Canis lupus familiaris: one gene and its partners. The main gene of each other region encodes a partner of the protein of the gene in region 2 in a complex. Links are inferred from orthologs where the notes say so. Each region holds a gene or a part of one and is shown on either strand. Other genes may lie near its edges.

Evidence for each region.
Region 1: the proteins of HYPK (region 2) and NAA10 are in contact, whole or in part, in a crystal structure (PDB 6C95), measured with the Homo sapiens proteins. The link is inferred for Canis lupus familiaris from reciprocal best matches to the Homo sapiens genes HYPK and NAA10. Residues at the interface, in NP_057484.4 of Homo sapiens: Lys27, His28, Ser30, Gly31, Asp34, Leu35, Arg37, Val38; in NP_003482.1 of Homo sapiens: Glu24, Tyr26, Lys29, Tyr30, Tyr33, Lys59, Glu134, Lys136, Tyr137.
Region 3: HYPK (region 2) and NAA50 share a complex: the UniProt entries of both Homo sapiens proteins name them as parts of the N-terminal acetyltransferase E (NatE)/HYPK complex. The link is inferred for Canis lupus familiaris from reciprocal best matches to the Homo sapiens genes HYPK and NAA50.

The regions. Positions count from the first base shown.
Region 1 is NC_049260.1:122,964,432-122,966,715, forward strand, and holds the end of NAA10 (N-alpha-acetyltransferase 10), read right to left. Parts: intron 1,434-2,284; coding exon 1,349-1,433; intron 847-1,348; coding exon 610-846; 3' UTR 519-609; downstream 1-518. UniProt on the Homo sapiens protein: Catalytic subunit of N-terminal acetyltransferase complexes which display alpha (N-terminal) acetyltransferase activity. Acetylates amino termini that are devoid of initiator methionine.
Region 2 is NC_049251.1:10,827,130-10,831,421, forward strand, and holds the start of HYPK (huntingtin-interacting protein K), read left to right. Parts: upstream 1-1,470; 5' UTR 1,471-1,793; coding exon of another isoform or gene 1,794-1,972; 5' UTR 1,973-2,144; coding exon of another isoform or gene 2,145-2,321; 5' UTR 2,322-2,786; coding exon of another isoform or gene 2,787-2,885; 5' UTR 2,886-3,524; coding exon 3,525-3,686; intron 3,687-4,016; coding exon 4,017-4,072; intron 4,073-4,292. Other genes in the region: SERINC4 (serine incorporator 4), read right to left, coding at 52-178, 280-375, 556-767, 1,029-1,122, 1,253-1,332, 1,794-1,972, 2,145-2,321, 2,787-2,885. UniProt on the Homo sapiens protein: Component of several N-terminal acetyltransferase complexes. Inhibits the N-terminal acetylation activity of the N-terminal acetyltransferase NAA10-NAA15 complex (also called the NatA complex).
Region 3 is NC_049254.1:18,681,113-18,685,471, forward strand, and holds the start of NAA50 (N-alpha-acetyltransferase 50), read right to left. Parts: upstream 2,813-4,359; 5' UTR 2,536-2,812; coding exon 2,528-2,535; intron 2,076-2,527; exon of another isoform or gene 2,060-2,075; intron 1,392-2,059; exon of another isoform or gene 1,373-1,391; intron 1-1,372. UniProt on the Homo sapiens protein: N-alpha-acetyltransferase that acetylates the N-terminus of proteins that retain their initiating methionine. Has a broad substrate specificity: able to acetylate the initiator methionine of most peptides, except for those with a proline in second position.

The DNA of each region.
Region 1 (2,284 bases), on a different chromosome or scaffold from region 2:
AATGGCTCAGTTCTGTAAACCTAAGGCTGTACTAAAAATAAAGTTTATCAACTATTTCCAAATGAAGGCTTAGGTTAGGGGGCAGATTCCATGGGTATTACGGTAGTCGAACACACCAGACTTCCCGATCTTCTGGATGGCAGGGGAGGGAGGAATCAAGGACAGCTGCCAGGACTTGAGCAACTGGGTGGCTGCTTGGGCCATGACAAGACAGGACGGCACCAGATAAGCCCAGTGAGCAGCTGGACTCTAGGCATCAGGAGCCCAGCAAGGCAGCAGCAGAGCATCTGCCTCCCGGCAGGGACCAGCCTCCAGAACTCCAGGGTGTCCCTCTCCCGGGCCCAAAGGTGCCGAAAGCCATCAGACATGGGAGCCCCACCTCCAAATCCCCTCTACTTGGCTCTGGAGGGCATGCGGTGCTGAAAGGCTGTGATGTCCATAACCACAGGGACACAGAGTGGCTGGAGAGAGGTGGCCCCCTGCCCGCCCCCCATGTGCATACTCGCACACACACACTCCCCAAGGCCACTGGGGGAAGTTTATTGGGAAACCTCGAGGGGCGAGCACAGGATGGGCAGGCCAGGGTGGGGTGAGGAGCAAGTGCGGGCTCTAGGAGGCAGAGTCAGAGGCCTCTGAGCTGTCCTTGACGTCGGTGCTCTCTGTGGTCTCGCTGACCTCGCTGAGATCCTTGCTGTCGCCCCCGCTATCGTCAGCAGCCAGGCCTCTCTCGTCACGACAGGCGTCTCCAGAGCTCGGAAGCGAGCTGCCCCTGCCCTCCACCTTGTTCTCGATGGCGCCCAGCACCACGTGTCTGCCTTTGTCCTTCAGCTCCAGATGCCTTCGCAGCTGCCGCCAGGAGCCCGGGGGGACGGAAGGGGAGACGGGACCTAAGTCTCCTGAGCACGCAGGCCCTCCGCCGCCCCCCACACCGGGGATGAAGGGCGGCAGGCCTGGGGCAGGAGACCTCTTGGGCCCTGCAATCTCCTCTGAGTGAGCGTGCACATGCCTCCCTCACACGGGCTGCCACCAAGCCCTCAGAACGGCCCTGGCCCCTGACGAGCCTGGGGCAGGACCCTGACTTTCTCCTCTGCCCAGCCGAGTCTCACCCCTGAGACCAGGGGACCAAGTTCTGGGCGCTTCCAAGAGCCTCCTCCCTCTCCTCTGCCATCACGCCTCAGACAGGACAGGCTTTGGCAGAGAAGGGAACATTGGGGTGATACCTCCTTTCCAGCCCGGCCATGGCCTGCTCCCTGCCTGGCAGCTGAGAACGTGAGGGGAAGGGGCGCCGACTGGGCAGCACAGCCTCTGAGGGCCTCCGACAGCCTCAGGCACCCCAAGGGACACTCACCTCGTCAGCCATCTGGGTGAGGTCCCGCTTCATTGCGTACGCGTCTTCCCCATCGGCGTAGTACTTGGGCTCCACTTCGCTGATCCTGGGGGCAGGAGGAGCAGAAAAGAACGACCCAAATCAGAGTTTCAAGTCTCCTCAGTCTTCTGGCATCCTGCGCTAGTGCGGCGGCACGTCTGTCTTCCCCGACGGAGACAGCAAGCCCATTCCGACGCGGCCTGCCCTTTGCGCTCGCCAGCAGTAGGCAGCAAGTAGCACCCAGCGCCTTGCACCCTCTGGGGGTTCCCACTGTCCTGTGTCCCTAAGCTGGCTCCCACACATCTGTTTCTGTGGTTTGCTGTGAGCCCAAGCCCTGAATTAGCTGTTCCCTTCCCTCCATGCCCTGTTCCCTGTCACTCACTGAGCAACCAAGGCTGACTCCTGGGCCTAGCCACTGGAATGGAGGAGGACGGGAGCTGGGACCTCTGGTTCCTGACAGTCACTGCCAGGCCCTGTGACCCCTGCTCTGAGGACCTTAGGGGCCAAGCCTGCAGTGGAGGGTGGATGCACACACTCGGGTACCCTGCCACTGGAAGGGTGTTGGACTTGATGGCCTAGGAGAGCTGGCCAGCCCCGAGACCCCACAACTGTTGGCCACCAGAGACTCTATATCCAGATCAGGACCCCTCCCTGAATGCCTTTCCTGGCGGTCCCTCTTCACCCCCAGCAAACTGAAGCTGAAGCTGTCTCTGGGGGTCCTCCACCCCCAGCCTCCCCTTCGAGCAGCTTCCACCACATCACTTCCCTGCCAGGTTTTCTCTGTTCTGCGCCAGGCACACAGAGACTCCCATGTCCTCAAGTGGGCTTGCCCTCATCCACCAGGATACCCCAGGGCTCTGCATCCCTCCACTGCTCTTGCCGATGACTCTACCTGCCTGGACGTGCTTAGGTTTCCAT
Region 2 (4,292 bases):
CCTGGGTATCCTCCCTTCTCTCACACCTCTCCCCTTGATACCTTTACGCACCAAGCAAAAAGGACACAAGTATACATGATGCCAGCACTTAGCACTGCCAGAGAAGTATCTGGTGTTTGCGATTCCATTTTACTCAGGCCAGGCACGCACAGAGTGTGATTCTGTCCTTGAAAGATTACTGCAAAAAGGCAACAGAAGAAAGGTGGTAAGGAAAAAAAGAGCTAAGTATTTGGTATGAACAAAAGGTTTTAGCAAGGGGAGTCCAGGTCCAGTCCTTACCACTTTCTGGAGGACGGCTGGACAGTGCAGAGAAAGTCAGGTACATGATGTAGCAGCTGATGATAGAGGCTTGTAGAAGGCCAGAACGGGGTTGCTCTGGGGAGAATGGAGATCATTGCTTTTGTCTACAGGGTAGTAATTTCTGCTCATATCCATCTATACTTCTTTCACCCACCCTTTGGAGGAAGCAGACCATTGACTAAGATTAGGGAAGCTAACGAATTTTTCTATACTAAAGGCCTTCCAGATTTGGAATGCTGCAAGGCATGTACCCACTGAGGCGGATGCAGGGAGCGATGGAGAGGAAGGAGAGGAGGCCACAGAAACAAAGGTGCAGACTAAGCAGCGTCTTGTTGAGCAGGCAGCCAGCTGGGTGTGTGTAGTGGTGGAACAGGAGCACAGCTGCCACACCTGCCATGGTGTAGAATCCCAGGGCAGCCAGCAGTACAGCTAGGAACCAGCGGCAGTCTTGGGCTGCACCTGTCTGCCTAAGGGTGGGAGGTGGGCAGTGGCTTGGGGCTCCAACTCTTTACCCTTTAATAAACTATTCCCCCCCCTGCTCCCGGAACACTGGTGTGACTACTCATCCCACCTAGCCTACAGAGTCCTCATGTTTCTGAGCTTTTTGGCACTGTTCAGTGGGAAGTTAGGGGGCCACTGGCCTGTCATGCGTTTTGCCCAACCCTACTGGGTCTAGTAATGTCAGACAACCTTCCCAGGAAGAGCCTTTAGGATTAAGTGCTCCTTACCAGTTTTTGTTCCAGGAATGGGCAAAGGCTGTGATAAGCACCAACTGCAGCAGGATGAACGTGAACCCTCCACAGATACCAATGTAATGCCAGGCTGCAAGTAGGGGGCACCAGTGGGAAAATGTAGCTGACCATGTCATTACTCCTGGTTTTCTTCCTACCCTCTCTTTCTTAGAAAAGCTATTAGCTTACTCCTGCTGATTAGGATATGAGATGGAAGGTACCTGGGAAGAGATGCTCATCAGGGATGCAGAAGGCAACAGCACAGAGACCTAGCAGGAACAGCAGTTTGAGGATCCAGAAGCTGGTTAGGAGACAAAACAAGACTCAAGAAAAGGCAAAGCGGAGTGAACAGTGCCTATGGAAGAAGGCAAAGGAGAAAGCAAAACTATAGGAAAGGGAAGAGAAGAGACAACTAAGTATAGGAAAGGAGGAACCAGTCCCACGTGAGAAGGGCTGGAAATAGGCCCATCACAGCTTATTCCAAATTCTCTCAGATACCTAAATAATATCTGGACAGTGTTTCACAGTTGACAAAGGGTTTGCATATAATAACCCCACTGTTCTCTCCATTTTAGCAACTAGAAGTTCAAAGAGGGTAAGTATGTGGCTCATGGTCACACAGTAAGTATGGCAGAAGCAGGAGCTTAAAGCTGTTTTTGGAGTTTTTACACTGCTGTTACTTCATCTTGGAATTTCCTTTACTCAGCCTATGTCTACTTTTCCTCCCCAGTCTCACCCCACCCAAAGTATATATACACAAACCTGTTGTGGAGCTGTGCCCGCAGGCTGGAGGGGGAGTGGAGCTGGACTAGCAGCATAGCCTGCAGTAGGTGGAAGGTGGCAGTTCCTGCGCATACTCGGTACACAGCTCCAGAGCCACTGAGCACTGGGCAGTGAGTGTAGCCAAACAGATGGACACATAACCCTGAGGGCATCTGGATCTGGAGGAGGAGAGTGCATGTGAGAAATAGCAGGGCAATTCATGAATAGAGAGGTACCTGCTTCTCATGGTTATATCCATTCAGTTGTCCCCTACCCCCCAATCTGAATTTTTTGTCTATCTGAGGGTTTCACCTTTCACTCTTGGGTTGCAACCTGAATCCTCCCTCTTACCCCATGTGCCTTCCCCCAGATTCTTTCCATTACTGTCCTTGACAGCAGGAGGCAGCAGATTGCTGAGGACCCCAAGTGGAGGAGGATGTAGAACAGGCGGCTACAAGCAGACTCTGTGACAAGGGGCCATCTAGAATGGCAGCTGCAGGTACAGGGAACAGGCTCACAGCAGGACACCTGGGGATAGAGCAGCAGATGGAGATTTGCTGAGGAAAAGTTTAATGTATGTATTAGGTTAACCCATGAGGCTGAATTCCAAAATTTCCCTTTCGTTTTCTTCTCTCCTTTCACTCAGGAATTCTCAGAATCTGGTTCCAAGCTATTTAGGATTGCCTTCCACTGACATCAAGTAGAGCTTTCATCATAAGAGCTGATACAGGCTTGAGCAGACCTTCCTAAAAGCCTAAGTCACACCTGGCCTCTCACCTTTCTGTTAGACCTATAGACCTGGTACTGGGAAGTGGGACAAGAGGTTTAATTTCAGGAGCTAAGAAAAGGAAAGGCCTCAGAGGGGAAAGGAAGGCCTATCATCTTTATTGGCTCCCTGGGTTTTCTTCCCCAGCTTCAGCCACCATTCCCTTCCATTTTCTTAGTTCCTGCTCTAGGGACCTTTCAAGCCCCTTTGCCCAAGTATGCTCTCACCTGATAGAAGGGAGGATTCACCATGATATTGCTGATTCCACTGCGTTGTGCCAGGTGGAGGGAGGTGCTGGGTTCTGTAACTGCCTTGGCACCCACCATCCTTGTCCCAGGGATTAGGCCCAGGTCCGCCAGATGGAAGTAGGATGAGAAAGTAGCTTTTTTTTGTCCTCAGCCATGGGCTGCCACGGTGCTGGGGGGTGATCACCCAGTCTAAAGGAGTATGAGGAGGGACATAACGAAAGGAACACCAACCTCCCGGATGTGGTAAATGCAAATGTCTCTGTAAAGCTACTTTCTTTGCAGGGCCTTTGGGCCACACAGGCTGTTCTCCCCAGATTATGGAGCACTTTGCAAATCTGGCCTCTAGTGGATTAGCATCCTTAATTGGTTTAGGACTAGACGTCATCCATCCTGGTTGAACAGAATTGATGGGGGCGGGATGGATTGGAAGGGGTAGAATCTAGGTGAAGAGAAGCTAAGGATGTCGGTTGGTGAGGGCCGGAGTAATGACGGGGTAGCTGTGTGGGAGGGCCTTGCAGAAAACAACACTAGAACCCCTACAGGAAGTCTGAGAGGCAACCCTCCTTCCTGACTGAAGTTTCTAGAACCCAGAACATTAGTGAAGGTGTGGCCCGAGCCCAGCCCCGCCTCATCCTCTCCGGGCGGAAGTTTCAGGGCAGCTACCGGAAGTCTTGGTGAGGTGGGGCGGGGCCTGTGCAGCGGCACGGTGGGATCGATATGGCTACCGAGGGGGATGTGGAGCTGGAGTTGGAGACTGAGACCAGCGGCCCGGAGCGGCCTCCCGAGAAGCCACGGAAGCATGACAGCGGTGCGGCGGACCTGGAGCGAGTCACCGACTACGCGGAGGAGAAGGAGATCCAGAGTTCCAATTTGGAGACGGTGAGGTTGGCCGTGAGCGTGTCTGGGCGGGCTGATAGCGGAGGGGCCTCTCCGGTTCTAACTGGAAGCCCGGCTCCAGGACAGGGTCCCCATCCCGTTGGCGGGAGGAGGCAAGAGGGAAACCGTCACTGGAGCCCGCCGCTTGCGAAAGAGAGTTTGGTGGAGATTGTGTTTAAAGTGGACCTCACGTGCACAGAATTGAGTTAAACCTAGGCCTTGGTTCCTGATACACTCGTCATCATGAATAGACCCTCCCTGACACGCTTATTAGCTTTTTAGATTATTGGGACTTGCGGGTGACAGAACGGTAAGTAGGTGTTTTTCTCATAGGCCATGTCCGTCATCGGAGACAGACGGTCCCGGGAACAGAAAGCCAAACAGGAGCGGTAAGTCTGTGCGCACGGCCAGCCCTACAAGTTCCTCCCTTTTCCCCATACGAGAATAAAAGCCATTGTTAAGCCTTTGTACCTTGTACCGTTCTTCAACTCTGTCACCAGTATTTGCATATATAAGGTTTACAACCTTGTTGGAAAGGCCTCCTCCAGCTGCCTGTTGTAAAAAACTCCGAGGGGAGGGGAGGCGGATGTTAGGTGAGGGGTGAGAGTC
Region 3 (4,359 bases), on a different chromosome or scaffold from region 2:
AACAAAGTATAAATATAAATACATGGAAAAATCTGATAAAATAGTACATTTAAAAAGTTTGAAAATGATGGGGAATATAGGCAATGACGTAAAACATTTAAATAGATCGACTTAGAGGTAGATGTTCTTCATGTTTCTAGTAAATACTCAGGACCACGGTTTCATTTTCATAGGCCTTTCCAAATCAAGAGTCAGGACTATAACGCTAACCACACTATGTGTTACAAGTCTTTGAACTTAAGGACCTCAGAATCTTTTATTTTTATTTATTTTTTTAAAGGACTTATTTATTCATGAGACAGAGAGAGAGACAGAGACAGAGGCAGAGGCAGAAGGAGAAGCAGGCTCCATGCAGGGAGCCCGACGTGGGACTCAATCCCAGGACTCCAGGATCATGCCCTGGGCCGAAGGCAGGGGCTAAACCGCTGAGCCACCCAGGGATCCCAGGACCTCAGAATCTTTTAAATAATGTCAATTGTCTTCATTTGTTCCGTGCCTTAAATACAAGAGTTAGAAATTTAAAAAAATTTAAAGTCCCATTTTATCTAGTAATTTTTCATCTGGGAAGTTAAAGGGACTATTCCTGTGAAATCATCTTAAAAGTTTTTAACATTAGGAACATAACTTTAAATTCCCGATAAAAAATGATAGGAACTAGACGTAAGGACTCTTCATTTTAGGGATGGTTGCTGGCTTGCGGCATAAATTCAGTAACTATTAATTTCCTCTAGATTTGGCCAGTTACTTGTTTCTGGGGATTTGCCACCATCGTGTTGTTACATATAAATCACAGTTTAAATAAAAAGATAATTGCCTCATGAGTGTATTAACTGAAGGTAGATTGTGAATAATACCACTGTTTGACCCCATTTCTATTGCCAAGGTAGGTATCCGAAAGAACATTACACCCTAGCAAGACTGAGCTAGACCAAAGATTTTGGATCTAAACACCCAGAATAACTTCTTGGAAGCCCTCCTTTATAAACCCATGTAGAGCCTCAACTGTAAGAACTATTCAGCCTCATTTTTAGTATTCTAACAGAACAAGATGAGAAACACTGTGTGCTGATTAAGAATACAAAAACCAGTAAGAGAAAGCATCCATGCTCAAGGGAAAAAAGAAAAACCCCACTAAATTATGTTGGGTCATATATAATAATAGTCAAACTTCCCAGATCGTGATTCAAGTGCTACAAATACTTCCCATACTTTAAAGAGTATCCCGACTGGAACTCTTTAGAACTCGATGTTCTGTAGTGCATGTACTATGAAAATTTCATTTCTGAGCTTTAACGTGAAACAGACAATTCAACAGTAGACTGAATGTCCAATATTTAAAGCAAAATCAGAGTTAAGGAATCACATTACAGACCTACAGCCAATTAACCTTTCTTGGACCTCTTCAACCCCAATCACGTACACACACCGAGGGCCTTGTTTTAGGCGGCATGAGATTATTTCAGAGACTGGCTTTTATTCTCAAAAGGCTGAACATCTGAAAGGCTTCACTAACTCAAAACACAGTTCCAAGTCTTTGACTTGCTATAATAGAAAAAAAACAAAAAACAAAAAACAAACAAAAACCCTCAGACATCTCTGAAAGCTTTTTTTGTTTTGTTTTGTTTTCTTCCAGAGAGCTTTTAACGCTGATAAAAGGAGAGGTCCAAAACGGTTAATTTAGGAAATTATTTTAAGACGTCGTGTTATGTAATTAATATTTTAACTGTATATAATTTTAACAGTAAGGGGACACCTTATCCAAGTGGAAAAGAGTTGAGCCAAAATAGTCCCTGATTTTATCCAAGAAGGAAACTGTGAAAAAAGAAATATTAGTTTTGCTATCACCTGAAAAAAGCTTGGTAGTAGGAACCAAGGGCCCCCCCCACCCCCCCACCGCACAGGGGCAAGAGCACACCACTGGAGCAATAGCTCCACCTACTGATCAACAACACTTCCTTAAACATTTTGGCACCCCAAGACTACAGAGCTCACGCTCTCTCCCCCTCCTCCACGCGCCCTGACCCAACCCAAATCCAGTTGAGTCACTAGCTCTTCATACTCATCTCCATGCTCTTTATTCCAATTCCTTCTCCCTCCAGAAGGTTCTGCGCTGCTCCCAAGCGTGAACACGGCTGGAAGGTGTCAAAGATCGCAGGTCCCAGGGTGAGCCTGGATCTCAAGAGGGCAGCCCGACCACTCGGCTTGGAGCGGAGGGGAGCGGAGAGGCGGGCGGGAGTGGCCCAGCCGTGCCCCCCCCCCCCCCCCCCCCCCCCCCCCCCCCCGCCGGCTGCTAGTCTCCGCTCGACCCACACGCGTCCTCGGGGCCCCGGTGCTGGGCGTCCCGGGTCTTGCCGCTGCTGGCCCCGGAGCCCGCCAACAGCCCCGCGCCGAGCACCCGCCCCCTCCGCCGAGCAGAGGCGCCCCGAAGCCTCCGTCCGCCGCGTCTCGGCCCAGACTCTCTCCCCTTCTCCGCAGCCCCTCGCCCTCGCCCTCGCCCGCCGGGCCCTGCCCGGCTGCCCTTCCTCACCCTTTCATCTTCCCCGCCTGCTGAGGCCGTCGTTACCGCCGCTACCAACGCCGTTGTCGTCGCCGACCTGAGCTCTCCGCGCCCGCAGCTCGGGCCGCTCAACCCCCACCAGCCGGCCTCCCCGCCTAGGGCAGGGAGCTGAGCGGGTGACGGAGGCCGCGAGAGCCAAGCGCAGCCCTGCGTCTCCGGAGGGGGCGGGGGTGCGTCCCGCCGCCGCGCTGGGCCGCCGCTCCTCCACACGTGCGCCCCGGGCAGCCCGCTCCCGCTCCCGCTCCCGCCGCCGCCGCCGCCGCCAGACCCGCCGCCGCGCTGTGACCTTTCACCCCGCCCCCTCTGCGCGCCGGCGCGCCGGCCGCCTCGCGCGCAGCCGCACTGCTGCCCTCCGCGCGCCCCTCCCCCTCCACCTCAGGACCTCCATTTTCCTACTGGGCTGTGGCTTCTGGCGTCACCTTTCTCCTCCCATCCCTTACGACACCTCCTCGTGGGGCGTGCCCGGTAGGCCCCGGCGGTAAAATCCGGATTTTTCCACCCTTCCCTCTCTTCTCCCATGTCAGCAAGAGCAACCTTCCCCGGCCCTGTCCTGTTCTTCCAGTTGGTAATTTCCAGAATGACCTTCAAACGCTCCCGCCTCCTAGTACGGTTTTATAAAGATGGTTTTTCTAAATGTAAAGACATCTGTGGAAGACTCAAACAAATGAGACTTTTTTTTTTTTTTTTTTTTTTAAGACCAACGTAACGAGCAATCGGCCGGATAACTTGGCTGCAGTCCGGCACGATCCAAGTTTTGAGGTCACGTGATCGCCTGGGCTGAAGCCTGGGATTTTACCGGCGGCAGAACGCCTTCGCCACTTCCGGTCCCTGGATCCCAGCCGAAACGTCACTTCCTTGGAAATGCACTTTAACCCGTTTCACTCACGCACGCCTTCTGTATTACACTTTACGACACAATCTTTGTGAAAGTTTTCTGGTTTTGTTTTTTGTGTTCTTCCTCCGACCTCATCGCAAGGAGATGAATGTTTGAAGGACTCGCAAAAAGATAGGCGCCGAGGATGCGGCACGCTCGCCCCGGGGGCGGCTGGGCGGAGCTCGAGGTCACGTGACTGCCTAGGCCCGCCCCCCGCTGCAGCTGAAGACTTCCCCTCCCGCAGTGACAGAGCCTCTGGTCCGTGGTCGGTACTGTTTGTGCACCTCGCGCCCCGGCAGGTGAGCGGTGACCGGTAACCGGCGACTGGTGGGAATAGGAGAAGGGGTGGGAAGAGGAAGAGAAGGGAAAGTGTGAACGGTGGCCTCCGTTGTCCGGGGCTTCCTCCCTGCTGTCATCCTGCACTGGCTAGGACCTCTTTTCTCCAGTTCTCCTGACCCTCGCTTCCCCCACTGGGGTCGCCCCCGCCACTTAGGGGTGAGCTGTCCACCTTTCCCAGGGTTGGGGGTGACTGCGGCCACTATGGTTGCCTATTCGGAGTCGTTGGGGCTTCGGGTAGTGGGTTTGGTTCAGCCATTTCTCGGGGTCCGCGGTAGTCTCCAGGTCCTATTCCCCAAAGCCCCCCCCCCCCTTTTTTTTTTTTTTTTTTTTTTTTTGCAGAGGCCCTGCTCCGTCTTTATCTTCAGCCTTGGGCTGGGAAGCTGGGAGGTAGGAAACACCCTGGAGGCAGAGGCGTCTCCGGTGAGACAGGCTTGGGAGAGACTCTCACTGATGGGGCCCTCACTGCGGAGTCACTGTTAAAGCTTGCTCCGAATGTGCTTTCTCAGTAATTCTGAGTTTTCAATCTGGCATCCCTGTGTGAGGCGTTCTGTAGATGTTCATATACTTTGGTTGGGCCTGAAAGAGTAGA